2 linked regions of the Arabidopsis thaliana genome follow. The protein of the gene in region 1 interacts with the protein of each later gene in a pairwise test. Each region holds a gene or a part of one and is shown on either strand. Other genes may lie near its edges.

Region 1 (9,504 bases):
GGCATATCAGTTATATACATATAGATAATTAATGCTCATTATCGAATCGATTGTCTGTGACATCTTTATCAAGAAGTGCTTATCAGACTACATATAATTTTGTTTGTTGATGTTGTAGTTCAAATACATACATTCGTCGATGTTTCATCATTATCTTCAAATTTTGTAGACACAACTTTAACACTTATGACTTCTCATCTTATTTTTATTTTTTATTTTTCCGGATTTAAAAAGAAGTTTTATAAAACTATTTTGGTTCTAACTCTAACTGTTCTGCAAAATTTAATTAGTTGCCTGGTTGTTGCTAATAGTTAATTTCAAATATTTACTTTGTTCATTGATATATCATCATTTACGTAAAACGCAATCCTAGATTTAACTAATTAATTGAGTTATAAAGATATACATACATTTTAAGACCATCTGCATTTCACGTAAAAATGAGGGTCTTTAGTTTTAGAAAATATTATAAAAAGAGAACAGTAGTCATTTTTAGTTACAGAGGGTCTACCCAAAGACATTTGAATACTCTCTCTCTTATATGGTTCTCCCCGTGTCAACTCCTCATTTGTTTTCATATTTTAAATAAATTAAATAATTAAACTAAATAAAAAGTATTATTATTAAATTTTAAAGACACACTTACCAATAGTTAACCAATGCAAATGCTCTAATAGATCCACAAACTATGGACCATATCTATAGTAGATTCGTCTACTTCTATTTAAGCGCTAAAAGGATCACTGGATATATGAGACCCATGTTTCTTATTTTGTACGAGCAAGTAGCTAATAGCTGGATATGGATTTAGGGTTCATCTACATGATCACATCCACTAATATCTGGATATATATATAATATCATGTTATGAAAAGTAGTATGAGCATACAATCCACTTAGCAACTAGTTTGAACTACTTGATACAACCCCCAATTTCTTATGTTGCTACGTCTTTTTATATATCAACTAGGTTTAAAGTATCACTGGGTCGGTTGTAGATTTACAAGACAAAATAATCGAAATGATATTCAATACAAATATCAAATATGTTTGCGTGTACGAATAGACTAGAGTAGAAGAACATAAAGCCCATTAGGGATATCAAGATTAGAATACCTGTGCAATTAGACTTTTCGTCTCTAGGCCCAGCAATCTTAGGGGTTATGTTGAGGGTAAAGTTTTTCTCCCGAGTGAGAGAACACTAGTAAAACATTTAATTCAAGGACCTTAATTCAATTATAACCATATACTAAAAAAAACTTATTCGTAGTTTTTTCAAAAAAATTGTGCGAGTCCCACTGTCAAAGCCGCTGAGCCTGCAAAAAAGAGTTTGGTCACACGTGTGAGCTTTGCTACTGTCAAAGTCAAGGGCTTCGCTACTCTTTTGTGCTCTTCTTCTTCTTCTTTTTGGTCAAACTCTTTTTTCTTCTTATTGTTTTAGCATTTTTTAGACAAAAATAAAGTAAGAACCGAAAAGGACAAGAATTCGATCGTGTTCCATTGGTGTCATTGTCACTAATCAATCAGTTGGGAAATTTGATGAGTAATCAACTAGAGAAGCTTCTTGGTGGGAAATTCCAAATTGGATTAGATGAGACTAATCAAACTTCGCATAAACAAAACCAATGAAATGATTAAAAGATAATTAAAGCATTTAGAAGTGACAAAGAACAAAGTAGTTAAGTTGCATCCTATTCAGGGGACATTATGTCTAAAAATACCAATAAGTAAGACACTTCTTTATTACAGTTTTTGTTTTTAATAAAGATTCTTAAAACTTCTTAATTATAGTTAGGTAAACATGTTCAATCTTTAGTACAGTACTACAACTTAGAACTAAAGTGTGGTCCTCTTATTGTTAAAACTTGACATGAGCAAAGATAACATTCATTCCTGGGATGTGTTATTTTCTATGTATATCTTACTCTTCTATGTTTGATTCTAAAGAAACGGTTAAGAAACAAGAAAATAAAACACAAAGGATTCTCTTTCTTCAACAATGAAAAGCTTCCGTACCATAAGACAATGTAATCTTAACCTTAAACATATGAATAGAGTTATTTATAATCGTACATAAAGACATGTTAAAGTAGCAGTTTCTTCTCTCTCTGTATAAAATGTTTGCTTTCCTTTGTCGGTAAATGTTTGACGAAGAATGATTGAGATTCTTAGTGAACAAGCGGGTCTTGCGTGAAAAAAAACTGCAAAAATGTTTCGATATGGGGTCATTACAGATTTATTAGATATATATAAGTGTAAGAGTTTGGGATCAATGTGTTTTTACCTCAAACGATTTCCCGGAATTTTCAAATTCCAACATACTCAATGCTACTTCACAGCTTTGTGCAACAATTGGCTCAGGGTCCTTTGAGAATTCTTCTAGCAAAGCAATGCTCTGTTCATCTGAAAAGGGCCGAGCAATGTGAAGAGTAAGTAAAGACTAAAGACTAAGACAGTAGATTGTTGTAATCTCAAACTAAGCATTTTAGGGAAGATACCAGCAATAGAACCAAGCGCTTCTGCAGCCTCATGTCTAACCATTGGGTGCTCATTCACATCTCTAAGTACTTTGCTTAGAGTAGCTAAAGCAGTTTTACTTTGCAACTGACCCAAGACATAAGCAACCTAAGAAAAATTGCATCAATTACAAGGCAGCACTTATACAGATTTAAGGTTCGAGAGCAATAAAGCAAAGATTCAAGGTACAAGATTTTAACAAAAACAGACACATTCAAGTTCATGAACATAATACAGGAAAGTTGACAAACCTCGTGACGTAGAAGGGCACTACTAGCACTCAAAGAATCAACTATGGCAGAAACAGCTTCCTCTCCACCATGATTCCTTAGAGCGAACAGTGCAGCATATCTCTCATACATGCCTTTTGTTTCATCCAGGAGAACTTGCCTGTAGTTCGATGATCTTAATCAATAACGTGCTACAAAATATTAAATAATCTAGAGAATGTTGAGGTGGTCAAGAGTGGAAGAACCTGAGTTGGTGAACAGAAGAGAAAGACGCAGCTGGGCCTGCTGGGTCAACAGACATGAAAGGTGATTTCTCTGTCGTTGATGACTGGTTCTCGGCATCAACGTTACTCATGTCTTCAATCCTTTTGAGAGCTAATTCACATGTTTCCCGAACCTCCTGAGCTGGATCCGAGCTCAAGCTTTTCTTTAAAATGTTAACATTACCCGCCAAACCAATAGCTCCAAGGGCTTCTGCTGCCTGTAATAATATATTAACAGCGAATCAGTGATATGAAAGAATCAAAAAGCTTATACTGATACAGAGAAAATAAGGATCAACTTATACTCAACTCATGTCGTACTATTGGATGCAAAGACATATCATTAAGAACCGACTCAAGAGCAGGAATGGCTTCAGCATCTTGCATCTGACCCAATGCAAATGCAGCTTCATGTGCTAACAAATTAGATGAGTCTCTGGATGCTGCAGGACATGGAAAAAAAAGATAAACCAGAAGTTAAACACAAGCAGTAACACACCATATCAGCACACAAAGCTTGAAGAAGCTCTGTTCAATCATTAACTAAAAGTAAAAATGTGGAAACTTGTATGTAGTTTTAGGTGCATCAATCAAATAGCAGCTATAAAATCAAACTGCAAAGACTTTCAATTTAGCCTTATACAGAAGCTTCAAAGAAAACACAAATAAAAGAATCAGAGTTTCTACATTCATCAAGCGCCAATATCTTTCTTTCCCAAAGTAACAATTTTTTTTTGTAGAAATAGACTTTATATAAAAAAGACAAGATTTTGAGCAGCAGTGTTAAAACAAACCAAGGATTAGAGCGTTGCGAGGTCCTGGGCCTTTCAAGTTGCGAAGAGAGAAGAGAGCTCTAAATCGCTCCGAGATTGGTTGTGACTGGTCCACCAATCGCTCACAGAGAAACTTCTCCAAGTTAACCATCGATGAAACTGATCCATTAGATTCCATATTCACTAAATCAGCTTCGTCGGCGTTTGAAAAATCTGGACGACGGTGTAACAGCGCCGTCGACTAGGGTTTTTGTATACAAAAGAGAAGAGAATCTGATTCGTGAAAAAGAGAAAAAAAACGCGGGACCTATTCCGGAAATAACGAAATCTATATTTGGTCCAAAACAATTTATTGATTTTAAATTTGACCCCATAGTTTCTATTATCCATTACTTGCGTATACACGTGTTGTTGAGTGTTGATTCGCTTAAGAACGATAAACACAGAGCTTTCTGTTCTTTCGACATATCAACCGTTTCCTTCCTTAATTTGCGTTCGTTGTGAAACCATAGATCCAGGTGAATTCTGGAAAACATCTTGAAGCGAAATCGAGACATCGTTGGAGGATCAAAACGTTAATTCGATTGATCGATGAATCCTAGAAGGTTAGCTCTCCTTGAATGATTTCAAATCGCTACTTTTTCAAACACATCTTTGGTTAGAATTTGGAGGTTAAGATCTAGCGAAATCTGATGATTAGATGTGTTTTCATGAGCTCGTTAATTTGTAGATTAGGTTTCATCGGGAAGATCTGAAGGAGCAGTAGAATAGGACTGTTGCTCTGTATTCTGATAGATTTGGATCAGTTTCAAATTCATCTAATTTAGATTGAGTGGAAGATGTTACTGTTTCTTTGCTGAGGTCTAATTTTGATTTCAGGGAGCCTCGTGGTGGTAGAAGTTCTCTCTTTGATGGCATCGAAGAGGGAGGAATTAGAGCTGCTTCTTCTTACTCTCATGAGATCAATGAACATGAGAATGAGCGTGCCTTGGAGGGATTGCAAGATAGAGTCATTCTCTTAAAACGAGTAAGCCTGCCTCTGGTTCCTCTGTCATGTTCAAACTTGTGTTCAGCACTTTTCAGTAGGATTAGGAATATGAAGTAAGCCCTAAACGTAATAGGAACATACACTTGCAATTCATTTTGTACACTAATGAGTTTCTGTATCTACTACTTACTGCCCATAGGATTAGTATGGAAACCGTAACATAGTTTTATTGGTTCAACATTGTTGTTGTAGTTGGACTCTATATGCACAACTAGGTTTGAACCAGATTCTTATTTGTTTCTTTTTTCATGAAACAGCTATCTGGCGATATAAATGAAGAGGTCGATACTCATAACCGCATGCTTGACAGAATGGTATTTACCAGAATATTTGTGATACTTATATTTTATCATTTGCTCACAGACGCTATTGTTACTGAACATTTTGCAAGGTTTCTATGTAGGGCAATGATATGGATTCATCAAGGGGATTTCTCTCAGGAACCATGGACCGCTTTAAAACGGTATATCTGACTAGAAATACTCTCTCAGAACCCTAAGCCTAGCTTCATTATGTGTTGCAAAGTGTCTTTGACATGTTTGTTTTTTTGGTGTGTCTGTGTCTGTGTCTTTGATATGTTGAATCGAATCCTTGCAGGTGTTTGAGACAAAGTCAAGCCGAAGAATGCTGACGCTCGTGGCATCGTTTGTTGGTTTATTTCTAGTCATATACTATCTTACTCGGTAAAATTGGCAAACCCGGAGTATTCCTGAACATTCATCCATGATCTCATGATATTCCCAGTCTCTCTCTGTTGGCTCCTACGATCTAATTGTCACCAACCAGTGTAATGATGTATGCCTCCAGTGTTATAGTGTGCTCTAGTGCTTGGGATGAGGACACATTTCATAAAACTTATAAAAAGTTTAATATATTTGGATTTTATAGAGTGTTTTACTTCCTTTATGTATAAATAGCGACTGTTCAAATTTTGGACCTACGAAAAAATAGCATATTGATACTTTTTGCACCAGCCGGGAATCGAACCCGGGTCTGTACCGTGGCAGGGTACTATTCTACCACTAGACCACTGGTGCTTGTTGAAAAGTAGTTCGTACAAAACTAAGATATTGGATACTGTATTTTCTCATTCATGGACTAACAATGATCTCATTCATGGAACTAAAATTGCAGGAAGAATTCAAAACTCACACCTCGAAATGATGAGGACAAAACAAAGCAAATTAGTAATTCTGAAATTGAGCAACAATTGTATTAGTGAAGTAACAAACATGGCTTGTGTATGCAATTAACAACATGGAACTTGACATATCTTAATGACCCTACATAGTTATTGCAGCATCTATTCCTGAGGAAAATACAAATTGCAGTTGGAACTAAGTGTAAACACTATAACATTTGCCCTGTGGCACAACAATGGAGTAAAGAGATTGTCAGAACTCCAAAAATCTTGTGAAGAGATCAAGTCTGCACTTCATGATCAAAAGTAATCTTCGAAGCCCCCTTCCTTATCACTGTCGTAGCTCTCAGTTCCTGCAATATTATTGTTCTACAAGATGAGAAGAAGGATGATTCCATTAACAATGTATACCATGTGCAAAATGTTTATATTAAGGTGGATTTAGAGGCTAGTGTAACAAAAAGGAAATGAATTAAAAAAATTGTCCAAAAAAAGAAAAACACAAATGAATTGCAATCTTTCATGGGATTTTAGTGCTATTACCACTGACCTTTGGCTTCTGTGGTTGATAGATCCTGAACAATGACTTGCAGCTGATTCGGGTTAAAAGTCGAAAAATTGTCTGAGGAAGGAGATGGAGCAGGAAAAGTGAAATCGGAATCACTTGATGAAGCTTCAGAGTTCTCAGAGCTGTCAGCAAGATCATCACGCACAACTGGCGCTGAGGCCATTGTTGAAGCTGACATAGAAGGAGATCTCAAGATGGACTTCAGTTGCGAGAATTGGTCCGACATAGAATATAACAACCTGGAATACACTAAACAAGACTTATCATCATTAAATGTACTAGATTTATTAATTAAATTTTTTAACCAAGGAGTAAAAATTGTAGGAAGGAAGATAATCTATGGTTGTTAAAATTACGATTCAATAATACCTGTTCAAAGAGTCTTGTAACTGGTAAACTCTTCTTTCTGTTTCTTCTAATCTTTTACGTCTTCTCTCCCCAAGTTCTCGGGCTTCAGCACATTTTCTTTCGGAAATGTCAGCTCTTTGTTTCTCAACTTGCAATAAGGCCTGAAAAATACCATAAATATAAAATTTATCCTCCATGCATTTGATCAAGATGATAGCCGCAATATATTGTTCAGGATATTAGCACGCTGTTTCTAAAATCTATTCACAATGTTGGTGGATGATAGAAACATTACCTTCAGCATCTCAACTTCTGCAGTGAGGGATTCAATTTCTGTATCACGAATAGGACTCGTTATTTGACTAACAACAGAAAACGTGTTGTAAGGCTTCTCTGAACAGGTAACAAAGGACTTCTGAATTCCATCTTCTACTTGGATGGCATGTTTGGTCTTTCTTTCATGTCCTATCTCTTCATCATCACTTTGATCTGAATGCACTACAAAGGACTTCTCAATTCCATCTTCTGCTTGGATGGAATGTTTTGTCTTTCTTTTATGTCCTATCTCTTCATCATCACTTTGATCTGAATGCATTACATAGGACTTCTCAATTCCATCTTCTGCTTGGATGCAATGTTTTGTCTTTCTTTCATGTTCTATCTCTTCATCATCACTCTGATCTGAATGCCCATCTTCTGATTCGATGGAAAGTTTTGTCTTTCTTTCATGTCCCAACTCTTCATCATCACTTTGTTCTGAATGCAATACAGAGGACTTATCAAGTCCATCTTCTGATTCAATAGAAAGTTTTGCCTTTCGTCCATGTCCACTCTCTGCATCATCACTTTGCTCTGAATGCAGTACAAAGGACATATCAACTGCCTCTTCTGCTCTATTGGAAAGTTCCACCTTGCGTTCCTTTTCTGTCTCTTCTTTTCTGTCAGCCTATACATATGATTTTACATCAATCAAAACCAGATACTTTTTTCTACGTATCCCTACATGCTGAGTAATTGAAAACACTTGATACTAAAAACAAACGTGCAGGGATTGGTTTGCAATACCTGCTTTGACTGTCCCAACTGTTTTCTGGCAATTCTTCCTCTGAGATTACTTTTACAAAGAAGAGAAACTCTTTTCAGTTTCTTGTAGTCAGATATAGCACTGTAACCACGCCAATACGCCTGCAAGTTGATTAGAGTTGAACGTCATTTATAGTTCTTGAGATAGAATGATTCCATGAGAACTTGTTAAGTACGAAAGGGTAGTAATGAGAATAGAACCTGAATCACAGTTGCTGCCCTAGTGGTTAATTTATAACGGAATTCATGACGTGCAGCCATTGTGCGGACTCCACTTTGCAAGGTGAGTGCGGAAGATTTGGTCTTCCCGTAATCTTTCTTTGCAATCTGTCTACGTAAGTTTTTCTGGATTTTGATGGCAGCTTCCTCCCTTCTCATTTCCTTAGATATCTTTCGTGCAATATTTCCTAAAATATGAAAAAGAGACTTTATCAGCATTCCTAATTTCCTCTGCATATCAATGAAACCATAACGCCATTAAAAAAAAAAAAATTTAAGGCCCTCACCTCTCCAATTAGCTTGTATATTAACTGAAGCCCTCCGCATGAGAACAAATCGTTCTCTTGTCAGACGAGTTCTAACTTGCCCCTGAATCATCCTCGCTGATTCGCCGAGCACCCTTGTTCTGTGTGCATCTAACTCAGCCATCTGACCAGCTCTCAGGAAAACCTTACTTTTTCCAATCTGCAAATTAGATTTTATATGATCAACACGCACCTAGGGGAGTTATGCTATCTGAGAAACTCAAATTTCATAGAATACTGAAGATTCTACACGTATTCAACTCATGCAAAATTGGGATTCCTTTTACATTTAGTGAACTTCCTAGGAACTTTACCTGGTAACCTGTAAGCCCTTTTTTCTCCAAAATCCATTTGCATGCAACTTCTGCTTCGTACCTGATTAGTGTAAGGTAAGAAAACTGTGATAAACAGACTCAAGGAGCAATTTATCATACAAGAGTGGAAGAAAGGTCCAAGCTTAACGGGGAGAACTGATACATACTCTCCTTTCAGAATTTCCGGTGCAAGAATGAGAAATCGATTTAAAAATTCAATGAAAGTTCTATTTGTTGGATATCCAGCGCATTTCACTCTGATGGCCTCAAGAACACCCTGCATAAGACAAATATCATATAACACCTCAAGACATCAAAGATGTTGGTATGAATTATTCAGAAGAAAACAGACCCCAGAGCGTAACTGATGCAAGACATTGGCATTGTCAAACACTGTTGGTTGCAACAAATTGTTTGGCTTAACACATCTGATGTAGTGGGGTTCCGTAGAGTTCAATGTCTCCATCAGCTGTTGCAATTGTAGCTGCACCAATTACTTAAACATGTCAGTCCGTACAGATGATGAATGTGGCATCAAAATTTCAACAATATCTTATGTGTGGTCCAATAATGCAGTCTTATCTATTAGTTAAAAGTCTTAATGGATTTGCAGGCAAGTCACCTTGAAACGAGCGCCAATTGAAGAAAACTTGGATTTGCTACTTTCTTTAGGAAGAGGAGGAAAGAGGCCTGAC
Region 2 (9,850 bases), on another chromosome or scaffold:
GAATCAGGTCATAGTTTTGATTGATGCGTTTCCTCTTATGTTGATGATTGATTATGGCATTTTTGATTAGAAACCTTAGAGCTTAAGATCAAATGTTCTTCATTTTGCTAGTGACGGTATCCATTTCTGTGGTTGCGAAGAGAGATTCTCGTTAATTTTCTCTTACAAGTTCCTCTTATGTTCTCTGTATTTGGCTAGTTATTATCCTAGTTGAAATCTTCTTCACTTAGACAAGTCTGTTATGTGTTAGCCTGTGCTATGATGGGTGGTTCACTTGTCTATCTTCTGAAACTCTTTTTTTGTTCCAGTATCAAGGCACCGCACACTCATGAATGTTTTTGACAAAACCCCTAATGTGGATAAGGGGGCTTTTGTGGCTCCTAACGCTTCTCTCTCTGGTGATGTCCATGTGGGAAGAGGTTCTTCCATTTGGTATGGATGTGTCTTGAGAGGTAAGCTGCTGGAGTATTTGACATTGTTGATTCAAATGTGCTTTCATTGAGAGGATAGGCACTCTTTAGTTCAGACATACCCTTTGATTTAATGACCGACTCTGCAGGAGATGCTAACAGCATTAGTGTTGGAGCTGGGACCAATATTCAGGACAACGCTCTTGTCCACGTTGCTAAGACCAACTTAAGTGGGAAGGTCTTACCTACTGTCATTGGAGACAATGTCACCATTGGTAAATTCTCAATACATTTGCTGTCATAAAATTGAAGTGTGAATATTAAAGTCAGGGTAATGGATAAAGCAAATTGAATTTGGAGCAGGTCATAGTGCTGTTTTACATGGCTGCACTGTCGAGGATGAGGCCTATATTGGTACAAGTGCAACTGTCTTGGATGGAGCTCATGTTGAAAAACATGCCATGGTTGCTTCAGGAGCTCTTGTTAGGCAGAACACTAGAATTCCCTCTGGCGAGGTTCTTAGCCACGCTCTTATATGTTGACCTTCTCAAACGTTTGTTATTCGCTTAAGCTCTGGTGAAATTACAATTCTGGTTTTCCTTGCAGGTTTGGGGAGGCAACCCAGCTAAATTTCTGAGGAAGGTGACAGAAGAAGAAAGAGTCTTCTTCTCCAGTTCGGCTGTGGAGTACTCCAACTTAGCTCAAGCTCACGCCACAGAGAACGCAAAGAACTTGGACGAGGCTGAGTTCAAGAAGCTTCTAAACAAGAAGAACGCTCGCGATACAGAATATGATTCAGTACTCGATGATCTCACGCTCCCTGAGAATGTACCAAAAGCAGCTTGAGGCGTTTAACCTGTGCCGCCTTGCGAATCTTGATTTGTTTGGATTTGAAAAGTAAAAACAAAGAACTTGATTTCCTGCTTCTCCAATAAAGTTTTCTTGGGCGTAAAATCCATTGGCCAGTGCTCACTGGGAAAGTTTTCGGCTTAAAGGCATTCATTTCTCTGTTAAAGATTGTGAGGGGTTTTGTTCTCTTGTAACTTGAGAAAGAAAAGTTGTAACCTTTTCTTCCTTTTTATGTCGTCTAATAAATTGTTGATCAGACAGACATTTAGGTTGACCTTTGCCCATAAAAAGATAGCTCTGCTTCAATAAGTTTCGTCTGTAGCGGTAACAAGTAAAACATGTTCGCATGTTTGCGTATTGGACGCTTTATTCGTCTGGGTAACGTTACCGTTAAATCCACTAATTTGGTACTGAGGTGTGTCTTTATCCGAAATTTTGCCACCCATGCCGACCACCTGTTCGACGAATTGCCGCAACGAGACCTCTCCTCACTTAACTCTCAACTCTCGTCTCACCTCCGCAGTGGAAACCCAAATGACACCTTGGCTCTCTTTCTTCAGATTCATAGGGCTAGCCCTGATCTCAGCTCGCACACTTTCACTCCGGTTCTCGGGGCCTGTTCCCTCTTGTCGTACCCAGAAACAGGACGCCAAGTTCACGCCTTGATGATCAAACAAGGCGCTGAAACAGGAACCATATCCAAAACTGCGCTTATTGACATGTACTCCAAGTACGGACACTTGGTTGATTCCGTTAGGGTATTCGAAAGCGTTGAGGAAAAAGATCTCGTCTCATGGAATGCTCTGCTTTCGGGTTTCCTTAGAAACGGTAAAGGCAAAGAAGCTCTTGGCGTTTTCGCAGCTATGTATAGAGAAAGAGTAGAAATCAGTGAGTTCACTTTGTCTTCTGTTGTTAAAACTTGTGCCTCTCTCAAGATTTTGCAGCAAGGGAAGCAAGTTCATGCCATGGTGGTGGTCACCGGACGCGATCTCGTGGTTTTAGGAACTGCAATGATTAGTTTTTACTCGAGTGTAGGTTTGATCAATGAAGCCATGAAGGTTTATAACAGTTTGAATGTTCATACGGACGAGGTGATGTTGAATTCTTTGATATCAGGTTGCATTCGAAACCGAAATTACAAGGAAGCGTTTCTGCTTATGAGTAGGCAGAGACCCAATGTGAGAGTGCTCAGTAGCTCTCTTGCTGGCTGCTCTGATAACTCTGATCTGTGGATTGGTAAACAGATACACTGTGTCGCTTTACGTAATGGTTTCGTTTCAGATTCTAAGCTATGCAATGGCTTAATGGATATGTATGGAAAATGCGGTCAGATTGTGCAAGCGCGTACTATTTTCAGAGCTATTCCATCTAAAAGTGTGGTTTCTTGGACGAGTATGATAGATGCGTATGCGGTTAATGGGGATGGGGTTAAAGCTCTTGAAATCTTCAGGGAAATGTGTGAAGAAGGAAGCGGAGTTTTACCGAATTCAGTGACATTTCTTGTTGTTATATCGGCTTGTGCACACGCAGGACTAGTTAAAGAAGGTAAGGAATGTTTTGGTATGATGAAGGAGAAGTATCGGTTGGTTCCTGGAACAGAGCATTACGTATGCTTCATCGATATCTTAAGCAAGGCTGGTGAGACAGAAGAGATATGGAGATTAGTCGAGAGAATGATGGAGAACGATAATCAAAGCATTCCTTGTGCTATATGGGTAGCGGTACTCAGTGCTTGTAGTCTTAATATGGATCTTACGCGAGGCGAATATGTAGCAAGGAGGCTTATGGAAGAGACGGGTCCAGAGAACGCGAGCATTTATGTGTTGGTTTCGAATTTCTATGCAGCGATGGGGAAGTGGGATGTCGTTGAAGAATTGAGAGGAAAACTGAAGAATAAAGGTTTGGTTAAAACAGCAGGACACAGCTTATTCATATGAATTGCTTTGTTTTTTCAGCATTACACTACACTTGAGCTACTGTTTTTGTGTCAAGAAACAGAGCAAGTCCACTAAAGTCTAAAGCATTGTTGTGGAACTGTCTCGTTGTCCTAATTAAGTCAAACACCAAAGAAGACATAGTCAAAAATAAAGTAGCATTGACCCACGAATAGTAGTAGGTGAAAGGGCAATGTCACATAAGGTTTAAGTTAAAGGAGTCGTTGGGATAAGGAGAAGAGAAGTCAAAAGATGTGTCCTTTTCAAAATCTATCCTTTCTTAAAAACATATCACCAGAGAGAATTGATCAAAACCACAAGAAATAATGATTAGAGCGCTGAGCACGAGGAAGGTTCGAGGCAGCTACAAGAAGCTCGGCGACGAAGAAGAAGCAGGCGCAGGGCTTTTAGAAGTGAAACCGGAGAGCGTTCCTACAAATCCCCATGGTCAATCCCCGAAGGTGAATAAACCGGTGGAGAAAACCAGGGGTTCGGCTCACCCTCTATTTAGTTTCTTCGAAATGAGTCTAAAGAGGAAGAAGAAGAAGAAGAGCACGACGACTGCAAAACCAGAATTCGCTAGGTACTTGGAGTATGTCAAGGAAGGAGGTGTTTGGGATAACACTTCAAATGGACCTGCCATATATTACAGATAGATCGGAGAAAGAGATTTCACAGAGGTTGTTTATATTTATTTTCGATTTGTGATATACCTTTCTATTTGAATAAGAAGGATGAATACATACATACATCAAAGTAGAAAGCTCGTCCATAAGCCATGATTCTGCTTCTTTGTGGACAAATCCATGTAATTTAAGTTTACAGTTTGATAGTAAGAAAAATTCTCGGTTTATTACTTGTTATCAGTAATCAGACTGGGTTTACAAATTTACGAATAAACACAGTGGGGCCCCTGATGACTACAAAAGCCTACCCGAAACACCAGGAGATGCCACGTCACTAAACATACAAAACCCCATCAAAACGCAGCCGTTCCGGTGATTCCCCAAAACCCAGCGTGATACGCGGTCGTTGCGAATGAAAGCCTTGGTGAAGAGGTTTAAATTAAGAGTTTGTTGCGACTAAAGCCTTGGAGAAGAGGTTTCTCTTTTTTCTCTCCTCCTCAGTATATATCTAATCTCTGTTTGCTCTTTTTTCGCACCATGTCATATCAATCTACCATCAATCGATCGTCTCTTCTTCCTCCGTCTGCGTTGATCTTTTCGTTTCGTCTTCTCCGATTGATGCTCTGTCGCGAGGTAACTATTTCTATCGAGTGATTTTGCTAGCTGCTGACTGTTCGATTTGATGATTAAGGTCTTGGTTCCGTGATAATCTCTGTTAAATTTAGTTTAGGCTACTTGATGTTGAATGATTAGTTTGATAATCTCGCACTCTATGGTTTGCTCCTTCCCGAAATTGAACTCTCAGATTGTTAGCTTGTTTGTATAGGTTATTAATTGCTTGACATTGATTTGGATTTTTGTTTATCCGTTATCGACTCTCTCGATGTTCATTACTTTATTAGTTGAACAACGCTCTCTCGCTGTTGTGTATCCCTATTGGTGGATTTCTAATTGAAATCTTCAATGATGCAGAGTCATGCCTACATTTTCTGCTGCCGCTTTGGGTAGATCACTAAATTCAGGGACGTCCTTATCTAGTAAATTTCCAAGCACACTGCAGTCAAAGCCGTCTATTTTGAATGATGAAAGTAAGCAACCTAAAGAAAAGACATTCACTCGTCCTCAGATGTCACCTTCTCTATATGCCACTACTAAAGAAATCCCTCATCCCAATTCGCCTTCTTCCTACCCTCCATCTCCCTATATCATCAATCACAAAGCTCGTGGGCCTGTTCTTTTCAATAGGGACTCTGAGGTGGATGGGCCTTCTCACCCGATAACCTCTGGTGAGGAAAAGATTAGTGGTAATGTAGATGTGGAGGCTACTGCCTCCTTGAGCAAGTCCACATCCCTATCATTTCCTATCACCGAGGCTATTGCGGTGGATCACACCAATGGTGTTCACACCCAAGGCATCCATGAACGTCCTGTTTGGGATTGCAGTCCCCCTCTTGGGACATTTTTGAACGAGAAGTCGGGAAGAGATATCAGCAATGGTGGGATTGGAAGTAATAATGCTACCAGTAATTTAGAATGGCAAAGTTACTTATTGGAGCCGGTAAGAATAAAAGCAGACAAGGAGCTTGAGCCTGAAAATTTCTATAACCCAGGTGAATTAGTAAGCTTCACAAGTAACACAGAGGTAGAAGATTTCGAGAGAGCTGAAAGCTCACACAGTCTTGCTACACATGTTGGAGAGTTTTATGATGCTTGCGATGGTACTGTTTCTTCCTACTAACTTTTTTAACCACGAGATAGCTAGAAAATTCTTATGATGTCTGACATTTCTAGCATCATCACTTTTTGCCAGTTCTTGGAGCCTCTTCTCCTTTAGTTTTAAGTGTTATATGCATATATCAGTATGTGATTTTGGTTGTGAAGTGGCCTTTTAGGCTTGGGATTCCTGTGTTTATAGTCATCTTGAATTCGTGATAGTTATGAATCAGATTTCCAAAGACATAGAAAATCTGCATGCATGATTCACTGGTATATCTAAGAAACTGGTTTTAATTTATTCAGTTACTGTTTCTTGGCTTCCAGAACTATCAACTGACAGTGGAATGCAGAGTTCAGCTAACAACATTGAATCTGAGGTAAGGGAGATGAGATTGGGTTTACTAATGGAAATCGAAAGGAGGAGGCAGGCAGAGGCGACTCTAGAGCAAATGCAAGTTCATTGGCGGAGGCTCCGTGACCAGTTGGCCGATGTGGGTATGTTCCTTCCTCTTGATCCCACCAGAAGCCAATACAGCATGAACCTAGCTGATGAGCTACGTTGTCAACTTGAGGTCACCAGGTTTGTCTCCGACACACTAGGCAGTGACTTGGCCAAGACAGAGGTAGAGATGGAGATGGAAGCTGAGCTCGAAGCTAAGAACTTTGAAATCACCCGGTTGTCTGACCGTCTTCATTATTACGAGACTGTGAACCAGGAAATGTCCCAGCGCAACCAAGAGGCCATAGGTAGAAGAAACTCAAGTTAAATTTACAAGAATGTCTTATCTTATTTTTCTTTATCTCAATGCTTCAACTCTCTTTGATATCAGAGGTGGCAAGGCGAGACGGGCAAAAGAGAAAGAGGAGGCAGAGGTGGATTTGGGGATCAATAGCTGCAACCATCACACTCGGGAGTGGAGTCTTGGCCTGGTCGTACCTTCCTCCCGGAATGTTATCATCAGATGAAGCTCAACCTCAGCTGTCTCCAAAAGATTCATAATGAGGTTGAATCAAAGCTTCAGGCCTTGTGAATAAAAATAGGAAAATGGGTTTTGTTTTAACCTTTTCTAGAGAATGTATAGAACATTCATGATGACGACATAACTCAGCTTCATACGATCAAGGTCATACCAATTTGGTTCTGTTTGTGTCGCTTATTGACTTGCAATGTTATTATTAGCCAGAAGTTCCGTGCCTGATTCTTGCTTTTGTTATGTTGGTTCTTAAATTTAACGAGGGGGGTAACTGGGTAAAGAAAAATAAAGGCGGTTGAAATGGGAATTATATTTAACAAGGGGTGTAAGTGGAAATAACAAATTCTGAAACGGCGTCGTATGAAGATCATATTTGGTTCCTTCGCTAATCACTAAAGAAAGCACCTGTGAGGAAAAACCAACCAGTGAGAGCTATCAATTTGAAAAACCAAGTCCAACAATGGCGGTCTCTCCGCATATTTCGCCTACTCTTTCCCGCTACAAATTCTTCTCTACTTCCGTTGTTGAAAACCCTAATTTCTCTCCGTATCGTATCTATAGTCGGCGGAGAGTTACCAAATCACATCTCCAGGCGCACAACAGTACCACTAGCTATGGCCGGACGGAACTCTCCTCCTCGAAGAAGCTATGGATTAGGCAACGAAGCTTCAGCGAAATGGAGGTTGAGCAAGCACAATTAGAAGATGATGAAGAACAAGTGGAGATCGATATCGTCGACGAAGCCAGTCTTCTCTCCCTGAGCATGAAACCGGACAGAAACATGGCGTTGCTCGACGATTATGAGATGGAGGAGCTTGGACACACGCCTAATACTCATCATCGGAGCGGTTTGTTTGTTTTCTCCCTAAACCCTATTCTTACTGAGAAATTGAAATTTGGTTATTACGACTGGGAAACTGAATTTGGTGATTACGGATGTTATATAGGATATGTGGCGGTGGTGGGGATGCCCAACGTCGGGAAAAGCACGCTTTCGAATCAAATGATTGGTCAGAAAATATCGATTGTTACAGATAAACCTCAAACGACGAGGCATCGGATTCTTGGTATTTGTTCTAGCCCTGAATATCAGGTTTGTTTATCTAAGCCTCATTGATTTTTGACTCTTAAAAGAACCAGGTGTTCATTGCTTGGTTTGATATAGAAATTAAGATGTCGACTGATACAAGCTTGTGTTGCAGATGATACTTTATGATACGCCTGGTGTAATTGAGAAGAAGATGCACAGGTTAGATACAATGATGATGAAGAATGTCAGAGATGCTGCCATCAATGCGGACTGCGTAGTAATTCTTGTTGATGCTTGTAAAACGCCTACTAATGTATGCTTCTCTGTTTGATTTGTTTCTCATGCTTTGTTAGTTTAGTTTCCTGTCCTAATTTCTGGTGTTGTGTGCTTAGATAGAAGAAGTTTTGAAAGAGGGTTTGGGAGACCTTGAGAAAAAGCCACCCATGTTGCTTGTTATGAATAAGAAAGATCTGATCAAACCTGGTGAGATTGCCAAGAAACTGGAGGTGAGTATGCTGTCGTTGCTATCCTTGAACCTTGGTAATACTGTCCTGTTATTAAAATCCCACCATTCTAGAATGAACTTGCAGTGGTGGAAGATGCTTCACTATAAACTTGAGATCAAGATTTGGAGTCATGGTATTGCTATGTTCTTTGCTTAATAGATGCTGCAACTCCTTGCAGTGGTATGAAAAATTTACGGATGTTGATGAAGTTATACCTGTAAGTGCAAAGTATGGACATGGAATAGAGGATGTCAAAGAGTGGATATTATCCAAACTTCCCTTCGGGCCACCTTATTATCCAAAGGTACTATGCATGAAAATTCCCTGCTTCAGTATTGAATTCCTCTCCTTGCTATAGCTAAAGCTTATAGTCTAATTTGCTTAATATTCTGAGGTTTGTGCTTCAGATGCAACAATTCACTTACCTAATGTCTTACGGCTATTTGATTTCTAGGATATTGTGAGCGAGCATCCAGAGAGATTTTTTGTTTCTGAGATTGTTAGAGAGAAAATATTTATGCAGTACCGAAATGAAGTTCCTTATGCATGTCAGGTACAATGACAAGTTTGGTTTCTTTTCTCTTGAGTCCTGTGAAAAGCCGTGGCCTTATTAATCAATCATTGTTAACACTACAGGTGAACGTGCTGAGCTACAAAACTAGACCAGCTGCAAAAGATTTTATTCAAGTGGAAGTAGTAGTGGATAAAAATTCTCAGAAGATCATCCTTATAGGAAAAGTAAGTGTATAACCCTCAACATCCGAACGGGTAATTTCTGATTTTGCATTCTTGGTCTGAAATTCCATAGTTAGATTTTGTGGACATTCAAAAAGTGCATTGCCTATAATTGACTTGAGACTGCAATTTGGATTTAAAAGCTGTTCTGCTCAAAGATTGTCTTTAAGCCATAAGATCTCAACTTAAGATAAGTTAAGTGCTGAATAATTTGGCTGAATGAATGTCAATGTAATGATGTAGGAAGGAAAGGCTCTGAAAACACTAGCAACGGCTGCTCGGCTCGACATTGAAGATTTCCTTCAGAAGAAAGTCTTCCTCGAGGTGCGCATAAATTTGCATAGAATATGATTGATTACATAAAATGGTATTTTCAAGTATAGGAAGTTAACAACGTGAGTGAATGATGTTAAATGAAGGTGGAAGTGAAAGTGAAAGAGAACTGGAGACAAGACGAGGGGCTTCTCAAGTACTACGGCTATGGAGGACAGATCCGAGCTATGTAGTATGTGGGCTTCAAATGGGCCTTGAAGAAGATGAGAAAGTGCAAATGACTCGGCGGCTCAGGTTAGCTTTTTCCCTTCTTTTTTTTTGTATTTAGCCGATGCCACTCAGTCTAGCTTTTGTTTTTAATCTCAATCAGTTGATTCCTTTGGAAATTTGAACTCTTTCTTCTTTTGTTTTGTCCTTAAGAGTTTGTTCAACCAACCCCACTGAATATCTCATTCCATGATCACAGGTAGTAGACTTATAATTAAACAATTGCATTTAAATTTGCTTTAAAAGAAATGAAAAAGGTGAAGCGTAATTTATGGCGGGGGATAAGTAGAGTGAATTGCTGTGTGTGTTTGGTTGGGTCGAGTGGAGTCGGTGGAAGTTAAGATCCACTTATTGCGCCTATGCTTCTTCTGTTGATAGAAAAAAAGTGTCTTAAGATTGTTTGAAAGTAAGTCAAAAGAAGCAAAAAACTAAAGTGCTCTCTCACTAACAAGAAAACCATTTTCCTGATTGCACAATAAATTTTTGTGTCCTTTGTTTTGTCGTGAACTCAACCGAAAAATCTAAGAGCA

Evidence for each region.
Region 2: the proteins of BS14A (region 1) and AT5G66480 interact in a two-hybrid assay, tested with the Arabidopsis thaliana proteins (one large-scale study listed by BioGRID).

The regions. Positions count from the first base shown.
Region 1 is NC_003074.8:21,538,646-21,548,149, reverse strand, and holds BS14A (BET1P/SFT1P-like protein 14A), read left to right. Parts: upstream 1-4,065; 5' UTR 4,066-4,374; coding exon 4,375-4,388; intron 4,389-4,662; coding exon 4,663-4,810; intron 4,811-5,088; coding exon 5,089-5,145; intron 5,146-5,234; coding exon 5,235-5,294; intron 5,295-5,428; coding exon 5,429-5,518; 3' UTR 5,519-5,791; downstream 5,792-9,504. Other genes in the region: AT3G58180 (ARM repeat superfamily protein), read right to left, coding at 2,169-2,201, 2,285-2,403, 2,499-2,625, 2,769-2,907, 2,993-3,228, 3,320-3,453, 3,805-3,961; XIJ (P-loop containing nucleoside triphosphate hydrolases superfamily protein), read right to left, coding at 6,273-6,325, 6,523-6,779, 6,910-7,049, 7,184-7,834, 7,954-8,073, 8,173-8,378, 8,478-8,655, 8,810-8,870 and 3 more. UniProt on the Arabidopsis thaliana protein: Required for vesicular transport from the ER to the Golgi complex. Functions as a SNARE associated with ER-derived vesicles.
Region 2 is NC_003076.8:26,541,422-26,551,271, reverse strand, and holds AT5G66480 (bacteriophage N4 adsorption B protein), read left to right. Parts: upstream 1-4,271; 5' UTR 4,272-4,452; intron 4,453-4,791; 5' UTR 4,792-4,795; coding exon 4,796-5,537; intron 5,538-5,859; coding exon 5,860-6,282; intron 6,283-6,365; coding exon 6,366-6,535; 3' UTR 6,536-6,731; downstream 6,732-9,850. Other genes in the region: GAMMA CA3 (gamma carbonic anhydrase 3), read left to right, coding at 309-452, 527-685, 774-925, 1,017-1,256; AT5G66500 (Tetratricopeptide repeat (TPR)-like superfamily protein), read left to right, coding at 1,598-3,196; AT5G66490 (uncharacterized protein), read left to right, coding at 3,520-3,849; AT5G66470 (GTP-binding protein Era-like protein), read left to right, coding at 6,970-7,357, 7,457-7,602, 7,712-7,852, 7,932-8,045, 8,224-8,349, 8,500-8,598, 8,682-8,783, 9,024-9,104 and 1 more.